3 linked regions of the Oryzias latipes genome follow. The protein of the gene in region 3 interacts with the protein of the main gene of each other region in a biochemical or structural test. Links are inferred from orthologs where the notes say so. Each region holds a gene or a part of one and is shown on either strand. Other genes may lie near its edges.

What was found. The genes of interacting proteins can lie anywhere in the genome.
Region 1: the proteins of hus1 (region 3) and fen1 form a complex in vitro, tested with the Homo sapiens proteins (2 studies listed by BioGRID). The link is inferred for Oryzias latipes from reciprocal best matches to the Homo sapiens genes HUS1 and FEN1.
Region 2: the proteins of hus1 (region 3) and rhno1 form a complex in vitro, tested with the Homo sapiens proteins (2 studies listed by BioGRID). The link is inferred for Oryzias latipes from reciprocal best matches to the Homo sapiens genes HUS1 and RHNO1.

Annotation. Positions count from the first base shown.
Region 1 is NC_019878.2:12,533,265-12,538,178, forward strand, and holds the start of fen1 (flap endonuclease 1), read right to left. Parts: upstream 2,942-4,914; 5' UTR 2,830-2,941; intron 2,436-2,829; 5' UTR 2,423-2,435; coding exon 2,341-2,422; intron 1,851-2,340; coding exon 1,748-1,850; intron 1,632-1,747; coding exon 1,529-1,631; intron 1,396-1,528; coding exon 1,332-1,395; intron 1,204-1,331; coding exon 1,094-1,203; intron 923-1,093; coding exon 786-922; intron 702-785; coding exon 635-701; intron 534-634; coding exon 402-533; intron 322-401; coding exon 170-321; intron 1-169. UniProt on the Homo sapiens protein: Structure-specific nuclease with 5'-flap endonuclease and 5'-3' exonuclease activities involved in DNA replication and repair.
Region 2 is NC_019881.2:18,846,699-18,850,734, forward strand, and holds rhno1 (RAD9, HUS1, RAD1-interacting nuclear orphan protein 1), read right to left. Parts: upstream 1,994-4,036; 5' UTR 1,830-1,993; intron 1,698-1,829; 5' UTR 1,675-1,697; coding exon 1,516-1,674; intron 1,405-1,515; coding exon 763-1,404; 3' UTR 642-762; downstream 1-641. Other genes in the region: foxm1 (forkhead box protein M1), read left to right, coding at 2,878-3,319, 3,414-3,562. UniProt on the Homo sapiens protein: Involved in microhomology-mediated end-joining (MMEJ) DNA repair by promoting recruitment of polymerase theta (POLQ) to DNA damage sites during mitosis.
Region 3 is NC_019878.2:4,319,717-4,324,564, reverse strand, and holds the start of hus1 (checkpoint protein HUS1), read right to left. Parts: upstream 3,092-4,848; 5' UTR 2,805-3,091; coding exon 2,753-2,804; intron 843-2,752; coding exon 715-842; intron 640-714; coding exon 463-639; intron 1-462. Other genes in the region: cell death activator CIDE-A, read left to right, coding at 4,621-4,688. UniProt on the Homo sapiens protein: Component of the 9-1-1 cell-cycle checkpoint response complex that plays a major role in DNA repair. The 9-1-1 complex is recruited to DNA lesion upon damage by the RAD17-replication factor C (RFC) clamp loader complex.

The DNA.
Region 1 (4,914 bases), about 8.2 Mb from region 3:
AAAAAACAGACAAAAAACAATGAACGCTTTATTTCATTCCATCTCGGAAAGCTCAGATTAAATCTGATCTCCTAAAAGTTAAGCAAACACTAAAAGACCCACAAACTAGAGGTCAAACATAGTACGGCAGGTTTGACGGGGATGAGAGTGTGCAAAAAAACTCTTTCACCTGAACTGTTTCTCGTTGCACATGAACTGGACCAGGCCCTCCTCATCAGGCTCGTTCCACTTCAGCTCCACCGAGGAACAATCCACCACCTCCGGCTTCAGAAACAGACCCCTGGCCTCTTTATACAGCCAGTCCTCTGGGGCCGAGTGTTTCTGCAAAGAGACAAGCAGGGTAGATGGAATCAGAGGTTGATGCTTCGAGAGCAGCTGCAGCTGCAGCTTTGAAACCTCACCTTTGAATCGATGTTTTCTAGGATCTCCTCGATGCAGCCGTGCTGTCGGATCAGGTCCACGGCTCTCTTGGGGCCAATTCCCTTGATGGTGCCACAGTAGTCGCAACCCAGCAGAATACACAGATCGATGAACTGAAATGCAGAGAACGCTGTCAAAGTGAAGGCTTCCGGATGGTTTTATAAGGAGCTTTATCTGTACAATCATAGAAATGATTTAAAACAGAGAAATGTACCTGCTCTTTGGTCAGGTCCATGTCCTGCAAGATGCGATTAAAGTGGAACTCTTGAATGGGAAGCTTTCTGAAACAAGCAGGAACATCTTTGGTTAATAGTTCTTTCCACTCCTTTTTGAGCATGCATGGAACATGAAGCAGCAGGACATACTTGGCTTCGCTGGCAGTGAGATGTCTGAGCAGCACGTTTGTCCCAAAGGTCAGGCCGTCCATGTCTTCTGTTGCCGTGGCAAAGACCTTCCCTTCTTTAACTAAAGCAGCACAGCTGGCTTCAGCCTCACATGGAGCCTGAAAAAAATGGTTGTACCATGCTGTGTCACAGAGGAATGTGTCTGAAAATATATTCAATAAGTGTTTAATATTTCTGTACTCTTAGATCCAGCGTACATAAGCAAAACTAAAATATATGGTAACAAATGTTAAAATACAGCAAATATAGCAAAAGGAAAAGTATGATACCTCAATGTAAGGAACGCCCATCAGGGATAGCAGCTTTTTGCATTCGTCATTATGCTGCTTAGTCACTTTAACCAGACGTTTGGTGAATTTTTCTACATTTTCTTGTTCTCCTGATTTTTAAAAGACAAAGAGGACATTATTAATCTGATCAGATAAAATACATAATCATGTTCTTTCATTCCTGCAATCCAATCAAGAAAATAAAGAAGAATGTGGCAGAAATGAATTTTTTTTTTACCCATTTCCTGTGCTTGAGCAAGCAACTTCTCAGCTTCTGCCCTCCTTTCTCCTCTCTTCTCAAGCTACATGATATGCATTTTTAAAAAAAAGGTGTTAAAAATACACAAGATGCAAATTAATTTGTGTCATGCAATATCATCTATGCTCCTTAAATGGTAATAAAAATCTGCAGAAGATCTTCAAGACAGCACTGACCTCTGATGATTTGAGCTGTGGAGGCTTCCCATCAAAAACGTACACCGGCTTGATCCCATGCTCCAGCATGCGGATCGTTCGGTAGAACATTCCCATTAGGTGGCTGTGAAAAGTAAACACAGTCATTTAACACTTTAGATCTAATAAAAGAAAAACTGCAGCAGTAATTCATAAACGCCCCATTCCCTGTTTTCCTAGTGTGTGTTGCTTCATCTGTACCTTGTTGTTTCCCCATCTTCATTCTGTAGAACATTACCATCCTGTCTCACAGCAATCAGGAACTGGTACATGCACATGGAGGCATCGATGGCAATTTTCCTGCCTAAGAAGAGAATTCAGCATCAAGCAAATATACAGTGATTGATTTCAAAACTAGAGCCCTAGAAATGACAAAAAAAAATAAAAACTGTTCACTCACATTAATAACTTCTGAATACGCATTTAGTGTGCATACATTTTGTGCATACAAGGTAGCCTTTAGTGCACACAAATTAATAATTTGCAGCCAGAATCAGCATGTTATTGGCACAAAGTAGCACTTGGTGCAAACAAATTCGTATTTTGCTGCCATATTTAGCTTGTTCTTGGCATTTTTGGGTGACGATTTAGTATTTGTAAGCACAAATTAGTAGTAACAACTGATGATATTAAATTACAAGTTTATGGTCACAAACTACTAAATTCTGACCACAAAAATGAAAATGTGACTGCACAAAGCTTTAATTTGTGGCCACAAATTATTAATTTGAGGGAACAAATTAATTATTTTTTGCAAGTTGCTTGCATAAATAAACAAGAACATGTGCAGTTACCAAAGTAGCTCTTAATGTCTTGCTCTTTGATTGCAGAAGGGGCATGGTCAGCAATCAGTTTGGCAAGTCCGTGTATTCCCATTATTGGATGATATCTGAAGGAAAAACAGCACTTTATTCAAGTTTTCAGCACAAAAACATTATCATCATGGCAGTCAACACATTCCAAAGTTGTGGGCACTTCTGCAGGCGGTGATTAACTGTTCACATCATCTTAACCCATTGGAAGCACAGAGGACTCAATGTGAACCCGAAAAATAGTGTTTACGACAGGTTTGTATGGAGCCTTTAAATCTAAGTAACATAGCGGTAACCGCTGGTACTACTGTACTAGTCGGTAGGATGCATTCGCCCTGGGCCTAGCTAAGCTTGCATTGGTACTCTGCGACTGACGGGTATACAGGAAGTCGACATGGTCATTTTAAATTGAAATGACTAATAACGACGTAAACAAGTGAATGATATAAAAGTAAACGTTTTCTTGCCTACCTGTTAGCAATAGCACCGTGGAATAACCAACGACCAAAGAGGGCGGGAGGAACTGTGTGTGTTTCGCGGGAAATCAAATGGCAGGCATTACCGGTCAAATTATCGAGGACAGAATCCCGAAAAGGAACTGTGAGTGTCCTCATCGATGTTGCCGGTTCGATTAGTCTGGCTTGTGCGAAAGCGCAGAAGTCACAAAAACGCACCTGATTGGTTGATTGAGGTTACAGGAAATCCGGTCTATCAGACAAACATAAAAAAAATTATTCAGTCGTTGTAATATTAGCCAAAACGTCCAAATTCATCATTCGGAGTCGTTATAAAAGAACCCCCTAAAAATGTACTGCTTTTAAATATATTTTTATGTCAACTTTTGACGTACCAAATATGTTGCAGGTGTATTTTTCGTTTCTCCGCCCACTCCGGAAAACTAAAGGGACTCGTTATTTTTATTTTTAAGGTGACGTGTTGCCGAGTCCTTCTTTTTTGTTTCCGCCGACCAATGTGGCACTAAATGTACCCGGATATGATCGACCCGAATGTCTAACCCGCCAGTACACTTTATCGAGGGTTTCCGACATGTTTAGCCGTTAGGTTGTGCCTTAATTGCAGTGAGCTCCACCGTCGGCGCATACCGGAGCAGAGAAGACTGTCGGGGCCTGAAGTCCACGGAGTCTGACGGACAGAAAGTCGGCTCTTCACCATCGGCATTGAGGTGACACGGCAGTGAGATGAGCGATTCGGATGTTTACAGCATTCTTGGGTTGTTTTTGAACAGAAATGTTTAGCTCAGAGGGTCGATAAGATCCTTTTCTCTTATAGTCACGTTAAGGGACACTGATTGAAACAACAAGACTACTCAGATTTTGGCCTTACTGCTTTAATCACTGTTTGTTAGATGAATCCAGTTATTCTGCTTCTAATCTAGTTTACATCTCCTCCAAAGAGTGACTGATTTGCCTGCTCTAAATGTCTGTTTTTGCTATTGTCCTGATTCAGATGACAGCTAAGGTCTTTCCAGTGACATGATGATCTATCTGACAAAAGCCTCGCTTTGGGAGATTTAAAAAAAATATTAATTATTTACCAATAAAGAAAAAAAATCCATATTCTTTGCAGTAAATGTCAGGAATGTGGCCTGACAGGAGCAGGTTTGACATGGGATTGTGGTCATGAAACCATGCTGGTCATCTATATCTTAAAAAGCAATTATAAACTGTGTTGAACAAGTTATTTCCAAACTCTAATCCAGTACAGATTACTTGTTATTGCTCTTCAAAAGTAATCCCAAAACCTTCCAATATTACTGTCTCAGAATTACTTTCTTGTTACTTTCTTTATAATATCGGTACAACATGATAGTCTAAAGTAAAATGGTAATTCGAAAACTTTTAAATTCACACGAGGGGCAACATAGTTTCAAAATTGCTAAAAAATGATATATATATATATATATATATATATATATATATATATATAGTTTTATTTTGGTAAAATGAAAGCTACCATTAGCTTTATCAATAAAAAAGGAAAATATAGAATATCTACTCTTAAAAATAACAACAAAGACTAAATAAAGAACTAATACTGTCTAATAAGAGTGTATTTAAATAATAGTTGCCTATAACAACAGGACAGAAGTGTTTGTGTTTGTTTTTGGTGTTTTGGACATTTTCTTTGGGGCATTTTTATTATGATGGAGGACATGTATTAAAAACATTGAGTTTGAAATTGTCTTTCTATATATCCAAATATAATTATTCACAGTGTTGCGAAATTAGGAGTAGACGTAAAAATACTGTTGGAAAAAACTTGTATATCGGCAAGTCACAAGCTTCCGCTCTGCTCCGTTCTGATGCATCCACTTGCAGACGACCAGATCCATGTAGGTCCTGGTTTTTCTCGTCTGAGCTGGCATCTGATTCAAAACTGTACGTCTGGATAGCTCCTATATTTCTCTGCATTTTTGTTAGGGGTGTGAGGGACTGTAAGCTAGCAGGAGAGAGCGTAAACAAAGGGATGATGGGAAATGAAGGCAGGCATGTTTGCAATTGTCAAAATAGAGATTTGAATTCACAAATTAAAAAT
Region 2 (4,036 bases), on a different chromosome or scaffold from region 3:
TCTTCCAAACAACCGTTAAGTCGCAACTCACTAAAAAAATCAAACTAAAAACATTCTCAGTTAATTGTCATCAATTCTATAATTATCAGGAGTTGAATATCAAAGCTACCGTACAACCGTTAGAAGCTAACGTTAGCTGCTTCAGCCCGTTTTCCGATGTTTGCGATGCCGCGTTTTATCAAAGTTAAAGGCGACACTTAAGTTTTCCCAACACAATTCCACGGACACGAGCGGGATTTTCACGCCACAATAGACAAAACTGAAGACCAAAGAAGTCCGTGAATAAGTAAGGATGTATTTTCAAGGCTTTACTCTTACCTTATGCTGTAATAACTCATGTTTATGCACGGTTACTAAGGAAAAGGCTCCTCGAAGAAAAACGCTTTTTGCGGACGCAGGAGCTGCGGATGAATACTCTGCCTTGGCAACCAAGCGGACCAATAACGAGCACTCCTATTGGCCGGCTGTTTTCCTAGAAGGAATCTAATTGGTTTACATCTGGGGAAAAGGTGGGAACAATAAAAGGTTTTCTCTAAAACGAAATGGGCTTCAAATGACCATCCAGTATGACTTAAATTTCTAATATGTGTTCAAAACTTAGAAAAATAAATAATTATTAATCAGATGTCAAATTCATTTATTTTTCATTTGATTCTTGTCAGGCAACATCAGGAAAAAATAATATTATTTGGGTGTGCAAGAGAAATGAAAAAGGATTTTTTACAAAAATTAAAAGATTTATGATAGAATAAACTTAAGTGACTAATCGAGGAGGCCCCTTTCCTTTAATATGATCATCAATCCCTTTCTCCTCCTCCACGTCACCTTCACCCCATAGTCCCTCTCTGGTGTGTCGGAGACCAAAACATTAGGATGAAGATGACACTGCGGGGAGGAGGGATCAGCCAGCAGTGAACAAACAGGGGGAGACATGGGGCAACTGTTCTGCTTCATTGTTGGAGTGTCCACTTCAGGAGGCGGGTCAACATTGCCAAGTCTAGGGCTACTACACCCACCGGGTGGAGTTCTGCTTTCCTCCGTTACCTCTATTAACTGATTTTCAGGTTGGTGCAAATATTCACTGTGAGATGGAGCTCTGTTTAAAGATTTTTGAGGATTTCTTCGTCTCTTAGGTGCAGGTAAAACTGTCCTATTGCTTTGACATGATCCCTGTGGTTGATCTTCAGGCATTGACGTCACCTCTGCCGCTTTCTTTGTGCGCTGTCCACTTGGATTATGGGACTTGTCTCTCTCCGCCCTAAGAAATAATAACGATGGGTATTTGCACACTTTGTGTTTCCTGGACAGCTCGTTGCACGTGTCAAGAATCCTTGTGACGGACTGACAATTTCTTCTTCCTCGTCTAAATGGAGGTGTAGCTGAGATGTCAAACTGGGGTTGAACCTGAAAGGTTGGGAAATTTATAGTTAAGTAGACTTTTTTGCCAGTTATCTAATCAACTAAATCTATATTTGTAATGTTTTATATATTTTTATATATTTAAAAGACTTTTACCCAGGAACTGAGAGCTGAAGAGCTGTGTGTCTTGGAGAAAAACTCTCTGGGATTGAGAGCAGCTCTGACTTCAGGCACATTTTGAAGTCTGGCGCCACTCACAGGTCGCTCCAGGAATTGCAGTGCAGGCTTGTCTGTCTTTGCCGCTTTCCGGGGCATCAATTTAAATCAATCTTAAGCATCTGTTCAAAACAAACAAGAGACAAATCCGATCGAGTAATCTTGTTAACAATACACATAGCTTTAGTCGTAGATCGAGGCTGTTTACATATTCGCATTCAAGTGTTTACTTTTGAAACGCGTTCTTTACTTACCATATTGTGCTTTTTCCGTGATTATGTGTCCATGTACGGAATACGGAATAAAAACGTTCCCTTATTTTTCGGTTCATTCAGACCTTTTTATCTTAGCTTGTCCGTGTTGTTGTTACTTTTAATTTCCCGGATTTTTTCTTTGTCTTCTTCGGGTTAGCGGCTGGCCATCTCGAGCTGCGGCCCACAGCGCCACCTATTGAGCCGCCCAGTGTTTTTTTCTGCGTTTACTATTGGTCCATTGTTACCATGTGATCAAAGTGACAGTCGGGGCAGCGCCCACAGCGCCAAAATTCAAAACTGTTTATGGATTGACTTTTTGTATCTAATTACTACTAAATACGTCGGTTTTGTGAATATTTTAAATGTTTTCTTTGATCCGACAAGTGGAATTGAAAGCCGAACCAAGCCTGGAATTGAATGAAACGCTGCAGTAATTCAGTAATGTGAAGGTCTGGCTTCATTTTTCCACTTGTTTCCTCCATCGTCAAACAGCTTTAGCATAGCTAGCTTAGCCTAGCTGTAAATAAAGGAAACTATACGCTAATCGGGACATTGGCTAGGCGCATGTTATTTTTTGAATTTATTTTTTGTTTTATTGATTGCATTGTGTTAACATGTAAATATATGTTGCACTGAATATCCACTAGATAGACGTTATTGAAATTAAACCTATCATCAACTGAAAATTATAACGACTGGCATGTCGCCAAGGGAACCGAATAAAATCTTCACTTTCGAGCGAGGGACTGTTGGGACTTTTGCAGCAAACAGACAGCAATAATCGGGTTTCTTTAAGTTTGAAGACGATATCATAGGATTGAAACATCATTTTTGACCGATTACTTCGTATTCTATTAGCAGGTATGTTGTTTTCAGGCTCACTAGTTCGGGGTTATCGTTAAAGTCAGTATTTAAACGTTGTAACGTAATGTATTGATAAGGTGTTTAACTTCTGAGTACTTTTTGAGCCATAACTGTAGCTCAAGACCTTTTCCCCCTCCCCACAGATTTCCATTGAACACCTAAGGCCCTTTGGATGATTTGAACCATGAGACGGAGCCCAAGGAGACCCCTGATCCTCAAAAGGCGCAAGTTACCTTTTCAACAAAAGGAACCCACCCCAGCAGACCCATCCAGGCAGTCCGGTGGCTCCAAAGAGCCGTCAAATTCCAGCGACAGTTCGTGCTTCCCAGACGGGGTCCGCTTTATAGGCCACCCATCCCTGTCAGACACTCAGGTTGTGGTCATTCCCAAAGCTACAGACGTTCAGAGTGTAATTAGTGTCCTCGCCGCTAAAGGCAAAGACAGCGGAGTTCAGGGTCCGAGCAAGTTTATTCTCCTGAGTGACAATGGCAATCAGGATCAAGCCGGATCTTTCTGTGAGACTGCTACTTCTGGAGGAGATGCTGTTTCCACACAAATCCCATCTCAAGAACCAGCAACAAAAGAAAGCACTCACACATCCCTTGATGTGACTGGCATTAAACCCTGTAAGGAATTTGCACAGAGTTTAAAATTTTATGTCAGAAATGCTACATTTAACTGAAATACCTGCTTCAATATATATATATAATTTTTTTTCAGTGAGTAAAGATGGGAATAGCGGCCCTTTGGATGACAGCCTCACCAACATCCAGTGGCTGGGCAAAATGAACACATGTGCTCTAGAGTCAGAGCCTGCAAAGCAAATACAAGGCAAGGAGAACCAGGCTCCCGTGTCTCAGACTGCTCAGGTCAGCTGTTTGTCTTTTTTTTTCCTTCCACACGGTTGTGACTTTTGCTGCCAGTGTGCAAACAGATTCTTGTGTGACAGGAACACAAGTCTGAGGCAATGTTGTGGCACGTTTCCTAAAATTGAACAGTAACCCGTCTGCCTGAGGAAAATGTCACCATGCTGTGATTTTTCACCATTTGTGAGGTTTAGTCACACGTTTTCATTTTATTCTAAAGCTGCTCTTTGCTGAAGATTTTGACAAAACGTAAGTTTTTTGTGAGAGAAAAATAGATACTATTACCCACCATCTGAACTGAAACTTTGATGAATTATATATGCTTGAATGGTGATTTAAATAGTGTTGCATGACATAATTTACAAGAACATTTATTGCAATGCTCCATAAATAGATGCTAACTTTGTATATTTGTGACTTAAGTAGCTCAATTATGATGTTTATTACTATGTATAGATTACAAAGGCTTTGATTTTA
Region 3 (4,848 bases):
CGGTACGAAGCCCACTGAGACGACTGTTGTTGTGAATTTGGGCTATACAAATAAAATTGAATTGAATTGAATTGAATTGATTTGAAACTGCTCCGTCGCTGCGTGAAAAGATGTTTGGTGTGAATGCAGCTCAAGGTAGCAGCTAGCTCACATCCCACTGATCCACGTCAGCCAGTCACGGTTCTGATGAGCGGCCCAAACGCCAAGATCCGGGCCAAAACAGAGAACAGAATGCTCACAAGTGTGGACAGCAGGTGTTGCTCAAAGCTTCAAATAAACCCAATGGGATATCATGATTATGAGAACCGAGATCATCTATACCGTAAAATTATCTAAACCCAGAAGAACCAACCTGAACCCTGAGACTGGGAGATTGTTAGTAAGCTTTTATGAAAATCACAGATCTTCCCTGAAGACAGTTTCTCCTAAGCTGAGGGGTCAAGTGCTCAGAGCAGGACTTACCAGCTCGGCGCAGACAGTCAGACAGGGGCAATGCTTCTTGGTAAGTTTGACTTTAACAGATTTGGCATTCTGGATCGTCTTCAGGGCTCTGGACAGGTTCTCTGGAGCCAACTCCAGACAAATCTCATTGTTCTCTGGAGAAACGCCCTCCATCTGGTACTCGTCGAAGAAGTTAGCCTGCAGTAGGTTTAAAATTGCTTAAAATATTCTTCCTGCAATGCCAAATCCAAACCAAAAGGTGGCGTTGCTCACCTGTGACAGCTCACACCACATGCTGACTCCTCCATTGGCCACTTTCCCTGACAGGACAAAGAAAAGGTTGTCCGGGTTGAGCCGCAGCACGCACGTCTTGGTCAGCTTGGAGATGGTGGTGACGACTCCTGGAGGAAGTTAGCAACCACTGTCAGTCCTGAGCACACACTGAACCCGTTTACTCCACATGTTCACCATTTCCTGTTACTCAGGGCTCCAGACTGCGACCATTTGGTTGCATTTTGCGACCAAAATTTGAGAGTGTGCGACTGAATTTTACATCTAGCATGTGCTAGATATCTACCAGTAAATTTGCCTCCCCCACCCTCCGTATTTTTTATACATTAAACGTGGAAGGGGCACGTCAATGATCAATGAAATGAGCAATGAAATAAACAATGAGACGATTTAGTCTTAGACGCACTTAAAACACGTGTGGAAAATGCAACAATAGTCGGGTTTACGATAAACCAGCGCCCTGGGGGGGGGGGGGGGGGGGGGGGGCATGAAGGCGAAGCTGCAGCGAGACTGAAGGAGAGCAGGAAGTTGTAGTCCTTAACATTCAATTTAGTTTTAACATGCCTCTCCCCTTAAGTATGATCTGTGATATTACATCTTTTATAATTATTTTAATGTTTTGGAATGTATGTAGCTTTTTTTAATCAGTTGGTATTTTAAATTATTTTAATTGATCAGTGAACTACAAAAAACCCATCAGGAAGCATGTCCCATAATGCATCGTTTTGTAGTCTGTAGGGCAGCTTTCAGTCAGTTCAGTGCTAAATTTCTAGCTGCGTTCGCTCAGGTTGAGGTCTTGCTTCCGCCCCTTTCTGGTGATATTTTTGTTTTGATTGACAGGTGATGTTGAGGAAAAACAAAAATATGTCTCACACCAGGTGATCTGTGCAGCGTTGCGTCCATCTGGGTGATCTCAAATTATTGTGCATCTTGGCTGCACCTATTTGGTGTCGCCAACATGAATTTCCATCCCCTAATGTTTACATACATTTAAGTATTGTTTGAAACTGTGAAATGACCGAAAGGTTACTACGGTATTCACTTGTTACTAAAAACTTTTTTTTAATGTATGGTATTTTGTTTACTATTTGTACTGTCATGACAGCGATGGTGCTGTCAGTTTACCTTGTTGCATCTTCAAAAGTGCAGAATAAAATATGACACTGAATTTGAAACAGCACGTTGTAATTTCGGCATCTATTATAAAAGTATTTATTAGTAATACAGTGGAAATTAATAGATTTGGTTAGCATGTTGATTTACAATATGCGCCCCTAAATTTTCTGGTTGTGGCCCTAAAATTTTCAGTTGGGGGCAACAGTGCTCCTAGTGAAAAAAGTTAATCTGGAGCCCTGTTACTGGATGTTTTCAGTCAACAGTTGGACAGCAAAATGAGATTTCCTTTACCAAATAACACCAATTATTCGATAATAATACGGCAGATTAACACATTTCTCCTCAAAACAGGCACATTTATTTATGTTTATTTAGTATTTTTTTATATCTGCACTCACTGGGTTTACCAGATAAGTGAAGTCAGGTTGTTTAAGCCAACTGCAGTTTTCTCTTTTAATACATTTTCGTTTGTTTCAAACTACTAGTTTCTAAAGTCAGTCTCTGGTTGCTATTATTGGTCACATTATCAATTAAATGTTAAAATATTTTAAAATGTTCGTCAAAAATAATTTAATTGAACATAATTGAAGGGCTTACTCATACATTTCAGGTACAGAAACAACAGAAATGCACACCTGAGGTTAAAAGCCCTTTAAAAATATATTTACAGAACTCCTATTCCCAACATGCAACGCGACACGACAAACGTTTTAAGTTTTTCAAAGTCGTCATTTAAGAGAATCATATTAGATTTATTTGCTGATCAGATTGAAGTGAATTTTTACACATACGAAATTTATAATGTGAATGAAAGTGGCTCGTAGATAACTGAATGTGACATCGTCGGCTCTCAGTTTTCGGTAGTTTTTTTTTTTTTTTTTTTTTGCTGTTTGAAGTGACTCACGGGTGAAGTGGTTCAGACACGCCACGTCCACGATCTTCCCCCGAAACTTCATCTGGACTCTGAGACCAAATACTGAGGTTTTCTGCTAAACACAGCTTCTGCGCATCAAACGCAGGCGGGAAACCATTAAAGCGCTCTGTCTTGGTTAGGTCCGTCTGCGTAAAATGTTCCCCGGAAACAAAACAATAATAGTTCCTGTCTGAACAGATACATAACTTATAAATCCAGAATATTCGAAAGTTGTTGTAAAAACTGAAACGAATTAGACTTGGTATTAAAAGGATAAATCAATCTTTATTTATACAGCACTGTATGCAGCTCAAAGTGCATTAAAAGTGTGACTATATAGTCAATGGTTAAAAATAATGTTGCAAAATTTATACACACCTACGCCCACATCAACAAACAAAAAAATAAAGATAAAATCAAGTCTAAAAATGTTAAAAATCTTAAAAGAAATTAACAAAAAAAACTTCTCACACAGGAAGAAAAGGAATAGGTCAAAAGTTGAACTGATTGTCAAAAAATAAATAAACACAATGTCAAACTTTAATAGCCTGCAGCAGTAATGAAATCCCAAATCTAATTAACAGACTCAGTAAGTTATAAAACCCTCTCAGAACTAACAAGTTTAGTTGAACAGCAAATGATCTGCTCCTCATGTCTAATAGATGATTAAAAATGTCAGCTGTGGTCCTTCAGAGACACAGGTGCATTCCCGTGTGTTGTGGTTATGATAAAGGTTAGAAAGGTCAAACTCAGTACAGAACCGTTGAGAGTTTTGGACGACAGGTCTGTGTGGGAATTTGGTTTTGAGCTGTTCAAAATTTTTAGTTTGTTGAAAATTACACAGTTTACGTGTATTTTGCATAGTTTACACGCAATTATTCTTACGCAATTGTGTGTGATTTTTGTGAGATGTATATGCAATTTTGTGGCTTTGCACGACCATTCCACGTATGTCTAACAGACTTTTCACGCATGTATAACTTTTATATCACGTCTACGGCGCACATATCACGTTAAAATTACTTTATTGGCGCACAAATCACTAAAGAATTCCATGTAAACGGCACAATGATCACACAAGGTTCATGATCTACAAGTCCTGGCTCCTCTGGCTGTTTGTTTCACCTGAAACCTTCAAAACTTTGGTCCTTCAAGATAGATTTGTGTGATGCTTGAGTTCAGTGAACGGAAGGAACAGATGGACTGTAAGTCGTCAGTAACTAAAGTAAATTGAATAAGTAAAGCCACATTCTGCTCCATCCTGATGTCAGACAAATAGATCCAAAGGTTTCTGACTGCAGAAATATTTCACTGCAGATCTTCTTTCCCTTCTTTCTTTTAAATATTTGCTGCATTTGTTTAAAAAGAAAAAAATGGTCATAGGTGAAACAGCAGGTCTTTGTGGGTGATTAGAGAAAGGCTCAGTCCTCTTTACCCAGAACTCAAACTTCAGCACGTTGGACACCATGTTTGGTCTTATCATCTGAAGAAGGTCAAACATTTTCACTCTGAGGGCAGACTGGTAAAAAGAAAACCTCCATGAGAGAGCTCTTTGTTTCCTGTCTGATTAATCCTCTTAAGAAGCTGCAGTTTCTGTTTGAAACAGGCTGGAGTAAAGGGTTGGAAGCTGCTGGCTGAGGTACAACTGTGTGTTTCAGATTAGGAATCTTTTTCTTCTTCTTGGAGCTCAATTCATCTTTATCTTCAGGCATGAGTCATCTGCTGAAGGTTAACCTGACGCATGCGCATGAGGTTGATTGGTTCTCTGTCCAATGACAAGCCGCCGTTTTACATAAAGTGCTGGCGTGCCTTCGGACCTTCATCTCTCCTCCTCCTCCTCTTTGTTGACTGGCGCGAGCATGGCGCCGCTCTCCATCCAGTCCGGAGTCAGTTACGCTAAAACGCTGCTGCCGGATTCTCTGCTCAGGTGAGTCTGCTCCGAGTTTGCGCGCGCGGAGGGTTTGGACTCAGTGCGTCAGTCAGGTCACCTGTTCGCGGCACCTCGCGTGTCCGTGAGGACAGATTTAGAGAATCTCCAATATGTCATGTTAATATTCAAATTTCAGCAAAACATTTAGTAAAAAAAA